Linked DNA regions of Cricetulus griseus. The protein of the gene in region 2 interacts with the protein of the main gene of each other region in a biochemical or structural test. Links are inferred from orthologs where the notes say so. Each region holds a gene or a part of one and is shown on either strand. Other genes may lie near its edges.

Region 1 (4,267 bases), on a different chromosome or scaffold from region 2:
GCTATACAGCAAAAAAGATAAAAAAACACATAAAAACAATCTGGACAGTGGTGGCACACACCTTTAGTCCCAGCACCTGTGAGGCAGAGGCAGGCAGACAGCTGAGTTAAGAGGACAGCCTGGCCTACAGAGTGAGTTCCAGAACAGCCAAACCAAAAAGATGATTGACTGATAGACAGACAGACAGACAGATAATTATAACCTCAGCTTTAAATTTCATATCCTCTAGTAAGAAACTGAAAGACCGCCCTAACTTGATTTTATTGCATATAAAAATTATTCCATTGCTATCAAGTGATCAAATCCCACATTACATGTGCACAGTATGGCTTGTTTTTAAAATACAGCTCCGACTGCAGCATAAGTAATCTCTTCTTCAGCAATAATAATAACCCCCTGTAGTAAGATATGGAAATCTTATCTAAAAATACTTGCTGAGTTAATGAACACCTTTGATTACTTACATTGTTGTGTTTGTTTTGAAAAGAGCTAATTCCTGCTGTGAAAATGGTCAGGAAATAAACTTTGTACAAAGATACAGAAATAAAAAGAAAACACACCAAAGTGTCCTTCAAAGAGTCTGCTACGGAGCTGGAGAGATAACTCAGTGGTTAAGAGCAAGAACAACTCTTGCAGAGGAGCCTGGTTTGGTTCCCAGCACCACACATCTGGCAACTGGAAAGCACCTGTTACAACTCTAGCTCCAGTCAATCAGAAATGGCCTACACAGACACCTGCATTCACATGCACACACCCACACCATAAAAATAAATCTTCCTCAAATGTTATTTCCCGAAAAAAATTATCAGATAATTTGAAATACATACAAAAGGCCAAGATTTAACCTTAATTGAAACAGAAAGGGTCAGTTCCCCATGCTAATCAGAAGACAAAGGAATGAAAGCCTGGTGCTAGAGTCTAAGGTAGTGATTGAGGCTCAGATCAGGCATAAAAGGCATTTTCCCCACTATTGAAGACACAGAGTGAATACCAAATATCCATCTCTCTTATATACAAACCTGCTTTTTCCAAATACTTGAAGTGTAGTAAAAGTTAACCAGCTCTCCTGCCAACGCCAAATACAATCCCAAGTGTGTGGATTTTAATCTTTATTTTTAGTCTTAAATCATGCCTGTTATCTTAAGACAGCTCATCTTCGAAAGGTCATAATAAACAATGTCTTAATACCGATAAAAATGTTAAAGCAATCATATAGCCCATCTGCTGTCCAACTGGTGCTCCACAGTTCCGTTTTTGGCCTCAGATGACGAAACTTCTCTAACGTCTCTGGGGAGAGTGTAAAGTATAACGTTTCCTGAAATTGTTCTTGTTTTTGCTGCACCATTTCGTGACATCTCTTCAACTAGAAATGTTACTTGCAGTTTTATTGTTCTGCAGGAGAAGCCAGAGGGACACGCAAAGGCAAAAGCAGAGTATTTTAAGGAAAGCAGGTTGAAAGACACAGTGAAAAGGGGGGAAAATGCGCAAGAATGAAAAACATTTCCAGCACAGAGAAGCGCCAACAACGGGATCTTGCTTATTCTTCTAGAAACAAAAGCCAAAAATTCTTCTAAGGAAAATGTGGTTTCTCTCTTTACTCAAGAGGGTGTAAAACTCCAAAAGGCGTTCCGCTGACTCTCTACACAAGAGTTCTACCCGCTCTCCTTATGTGCTTTAACACGCTAACCCTATCTGTACATTAAACGCCAGCTACAGATAATGCAATCTCTACAAACTACAACTGTAGTTGCCATCTTTGCCTGGGGAAAAAAAAAAAAGATTTTTTTTCTTGGATTTGGAAGGGGGAAAAAAGGAGTACATTAAGTTGGAAGGCAAGAAAACCACCATCAAGAGATTGATAGGGCACGGGTTAACAGGCACCTTCTACCAAACTAAGGTTTTAAAGGTCTGGGGAAGAAGGGCAAAGCCTTACCGAGTCCGCAAGGGTGGGGCATCCTAAGGGAAAAAAAATATATTAAGAGCGAGTTTCTCCAGAGGCCGAGGAGCAGGCCCACGAGCTCGCACCCAGGGTGGCACAGGACGCTGGGGACGCGGGCGAAGGGCGGCTTCGAAGGAGACGTGGGCTGCCGGGGAATGCCCCAGAGTGCGGGCTGACAGAAGGAGGCACCCACGGGGCACGGGATGAAGATCGAAGAAGAGCTAGCAAGGGCCGTGCGTTCCGAGGCTGCGCGTGGGAGGCCGGGCAAAGGCCGCGGAGGGCCGTGGGCAAGCGGCCGTCCTCGGCGAGGCGCTCCCCGGCTGCCCCGCGTTCTGCCAGTCTCGGGCCGCTCGGACCGCGGGCGACGGCGGCGGGCACAGCTGTTTCCACCCCGCCGGGGAGCGCAGGGGGAGGGGAGAGAGGAAAGCATCTCCCCCGTGGCCTGGGAGCCAAGCAGCGGCCGTCCTCGAGCGGGGGCGCGGAGCGGAGCCCCCACCGCGGAGCGCACGCCGAACTTCGCCCTTTCTTCCCCTCAGCCGCCTTTATGCCACAACTTCGCGGCCGCGACTGTCCGCGGCCACCGGCCGACACCCCCGCTCCGCTCGCCGACCGGTGATCCCCGACGCTCTGGGGTCAGGGAAGGCCACCGGGAGCCTGGGCCGCGGCCCCGGACGCCGCCCCCGCGCCGACGCTCGCCCCGTCTCGGCGGCCCCCACGCCCGCCCCGCTGCAGCAGCTCCGCTCACCTGCATTGACGCCATGATGAAACCATCCCCCCAAGGCCAGCGAGGCCAGAGACGCAGGGGGCGGAGCCGCCGTGCTCGCGTCACGCCGCGGGGGCCCAACATCCCGGGCACGGGGTGGAGTCGCCGATGGGAAGGGGCCGGCACGTCCGATTGGCTGTGGCGCGGGCGCCCGGGGGCGTGACGGGGCGGGGCGTGGTGGGGCGGGGCGGGGCGCCTTGGGTACCTCTCATCCCAGCCAGTTTACACGCTGGCCCACCCTCGCTACTGGGTGAGGCGCAGCTCAGGTTCGAACCGCAGCAGTACTCCCTAGATCATGAAGCTGTCTGGATGCGCGAATTTTTTGGTTGTTTTTATTTTCTTTTGGTCTCATTCTGTTTTCCTAGCTACAGGTGTAAGATTTGTAGTTTTTTAAATTTATTTTTTAATCCCCCTTTGTATGCCTTTTCTACACCTACAGCTCTTCTTCTGAGCCAGATAAAACTTCGCGGGGGGGGGGGAGGTGCTCTCTAGTCTTTGCAGATCCAGGAGGCTATTTCTAATTTGGGGGTTGGGGGGAGGAACAGAGAGTCACAAATTTCCTTATAGAACAGAATGAAAACTGAGAGCAGGGCAACGCTGTCATCTTAAAGGCAAGAGCAACTAGATTTTTTGTGCTGAAATGTAGTGGGAAGGGAAGGAGAAAGAATAATGTTTTCTTTTGTGTGAGATTTTCTAGCTTCCTTACCCAACCATCTAAATTGCAAACTCCATGTGTATCATAGTAGTCGTTGTTACATCAGTCTATTTGATTAGCGATTTGACTCTAGCCACAAATTCTCATATATTAGCTCACGTTGTGCCATGTCTACATTTCTCTTCAGCCAATTCTGTGGTGGGCAGTTTTGTGATCAGCCAACCTATGAATGAGTTTGGGCAGGAAACACTGAGCATACAGAATTTATTCTAGGCATGCACCAGTTCTGCCAACATTTATCAGAAGTCACATTTTTAAAGCTCTTCCAGAACCAAAGATGTCTTTTGGTTTATAAAAGAAAAAATGGAAGGCTAAAGCTTGCACCTCCTGTCCTATCTCTAAAAGAGTCAAGGAGGCTGGCATGTCGAGTAGATAGATGGCTTTTGCTTTACCCGAAAGTTTAAATCTTTCTTTTTATTGACTTGCCTTCTTTTTTAGACATTTCTCTACGATAGATATAAATATAATGGCAATGTAGAATATCACTCTTCACACTTAAGATAGATCACGATGTTCTCTGGGAACATCCGCAAGGAAATGTGTTCACAAAAGGAAAAAGATCTTTAAAATATGCAGTTATTCTATGGCATAATGTTAACACAGTTTATCTTTACCAAAGAGAAACCTTTTTTGGTATTCTTCCCTCTCTAAGATGTCACCCTATTACCAGAAATGGTTTTTTCCCCTTCCTATGTAAAATGTGATCTTGAGGGAGTTTGCATGACTTGGAAATACAGAATCAGTCAAGCACATTGTGCTGTCACCATTACAACATAGAATAAAGCCCACATAGCCCAGTGAAAGAGGTAAGTTTATAGCAAAGCTTGTCAACTATTCCTTCCAGAGATCT
Region 2 (2,508 bases):
CTGGAGGCAGATACCATGCAGAAAGGCCAGCCTGGCTGTCTGTCCATTGGTCTATCCTGAGCAGTTCTGAACATTTCATATATAAATGGGGTGGTACCGTTTATGGTTGATCTTCTTCCTACAAGTTGGGCAAGTATTAGCATTCTTAAGAGAATCACGGAGGCACTGGCTACAGAAGACGTGGCCACATTCTGTAGAAACAATGAGGCGCCCATTCTGCACAATCTAGAAGACATTAAAAGGAACAGCCTTAAAGTATTCCTTGTCACCAAGGACCCTAACCCAGCCATCACTGAGACCAGTGTATACAAAGGATCAAGGTTATTACCAGAAAAAGCAGGAGCCTACACAACAATCTCAGAAGCAAATGCTGCCTCTATGGAACAGAATGTAGACAGGACAGGATTTTCCCAGCTGCAGTAATAAAAATGGATTATGGGCAAGCTCAGCAAAAATCAACAGCTTCTAGTTAAGGCTACGGTGGGAAACATGAATTTGCAGAGGCTAAAGATAAAATGTAGAGGGCCCATGACCAACTGGCATAATCTCCTTTTTAATTGGCCTTTGTGATAGATAGGTGTCAAATCCCGTATGAGGCACAGATCCTCTAACTTCATTTTAGTGAAGTAGGTTAAAACCAAAAGGAGACACAAGTAGGTTACTTACCTCAGAGTATCCATCCATGCAGATCGGACAACTGACAGTACCCGAGGGCCTAAAATCACAGTGCTCCACATCAGTTTCTAAGTAAACCCAAATACTTGATAACACCCTCTTAAAGTAGCTTCATATATGCAGTTCAATCTTCTACCAAATCTCTCCCTGCCTCACTTCTGCTGAGTTAGAACAGGCGCACAAAAAACTTGGAGACAGCTCAGCGGTTAAGAGCACTGACTACTCTTCCCAAGGGCCTGGGGTTCAATTCCCAGCACCCACATAGCAGCTCGCAACTGTAACTCCAAGATCTGACACCTTCACCCAGACATACATGCAGGCAAAACACCAATGCACATAAAAAAAAAAAAAAAAAAAAAAAAATTAAAAGAAAAAAAGCAACCTGAAGATAAATAAATGAACTACTTGAAGCGTTGGGCTGGAATGGCCATGAAAGAGGGATTCGAGAGAACAGGTCTATAAGAAAAGACTCACCCACCTCCTCCACCTCCAGCATTCCTGCTAGTGGCACCTAGAACAACCCACTTATACCCTGAACACTGTGGGTATGTCTGTCTCCTGATACAGCTGTCTGTCCATTGGTCTATCCTGGTCAGACATCTGATCCCAGCCCTGCATTCCAAGCATGCTTGGCAGATACTTGTTCTAGAGTAACAGCTTATATACAGTACAGCATTTGTTTGCTCCCGTCTCCACCCAACATAACAGAAGGAGAGCAGATTACCTGAGTCCTGTAGCTCCTTCATCCTTGGTGCCTCGAGAAGTATGAGTAGTCACATACACATCTTTATCTCTAGACAGTTCCTCATCATCACTGCTCACCACACAGCTGTCAGCATGGTCTGGGCGTAACCTCCTCCCATTTCTTCTTGGCCTTCTCCTTTCTAAGGAAAAGGTCACATTTTCAGCCATCTTTACCATCCTACCCTAGTGTCTCTGAAGACCCTCCCCTCTCCTTGAGGCCCCCAGAGAGAAACTATCACCATACTAGTTCTGCCCCCAGAAGGTCCTGCCCATAAGCAGAGGCCACTCAATTGCCTTCTCAGGAGAAAGCTCAGCCCCTGACATCCTGGGCAGAGATTTTCAGTAAAACCAGGTCTGACCAAAGGCATCTTTCTGTCTAGAGATCTTGAAAGGACAGTCTGATAAAGCGTGCGATGCTGTGGTATTCGCAACAATTTTCTTTAAACCCAAGGGAAAAGGAAATTAAAATACTCACCTTCAACAATCTGAAGGGGGGGAAAAAGAGAGAGTGTTATAAACATTCTGACATTTTAACTGATAAAACACACACATCTTGCTTCCAATATATCTGTATATATTGGAGAATCCAGTCTTCCCTTATCCCCAAGGAAAGGAAATGTGTACTTCTCCAGGCCAGCTATGGTCATCTCCAGGTCAATGTCTCCTAGGAGCCAATATGCTGAATCTCACCCAGCCCATTTCGGGGCCTAAATAGAACCACATCAGGACCTGTGCAAGACCAGAGGTTGGGTTGTCTGGAGGAATCTATATTCTGTTCACAAAAACAAGAGGCCTAATCTACCTCCCTGGGCTGAGTCAGAAAACAATCAGCAAAGCTCATTGCACCTACAGCCAGCATGGCAAGTGCCAATGACAGAGCCACTGGAGAAGGATTTAAGCTACTTAATATTATAAAAAGATCAATTGGGAATTATCTTGAGTCATCCTTTTTAACAAGAACTGGACCAACACATGTTTGGTGGCTCGGGACATTCATTAATATAGTTGAAGATGATCCTGGTTTCTGATCTACTTGCTTTCACCTTCAAAGTGCTGGATTAGAGGAGTGTACTACCACATCCACCAGTT

The links. The genes of interacting proteins can lie anywhere in the genome.
Region 1: the proteins of Rnf4 (region 2) and Ube2w form a complex in vitro, tested with the Homo sapiens proteins (2 studies listed by BioGRID). The link is inferred for Cricetulus griseus from reciprocal best matches to the Homo sapiens genes RNF4 and UBE2W.

Annotation. Positions count from the first base shown.
Region 1 is NC_048595.1:144,389,678-144,393,944, reverse strand, and holds the start of Ube2w (ubiquitin-conjugating enzyme E2 W), read right to left. Parts: upstream 2,808-4,267; 5' UTR 2,787-2,807; coding exon 2,685-2,786; intron 1-2,684. UniProt on the Homo sapiens protein: Accepts ubiquitin from the E1 complex and catalyzes its covalent attachment to other proteins.
Region 2 is NW_023276807.1:103,341,075-103,343,582, reverse strand, and holds part of Rnf4 (E3 ubiquitin-protein ligase RNF4), read right to left. Parts: intron 1,905-2,508; coding exon 1,895-1,904; intron 1,560-1,894; coding exon 1,400-1,559; intron 716-1,399; coding exon 667-715; intron 415-666; coding exon of another isoform or gene 358-414; exon of another isoform or gene 329-357; intron 226-328; coding exon 76-225; 3' UTR 1-75. UniProt on the Homo sapiens protein: E3 ubiquitin-protein ligase which binds polysumoylated chains covalently attached to proteins and mediates 'Lys-6'-, 'Lys-11'-, 'Lys-48'- and 'Lys-63'-linked polyubiquitination of those substrates and their subsequent targeting to the proteasome for degradation.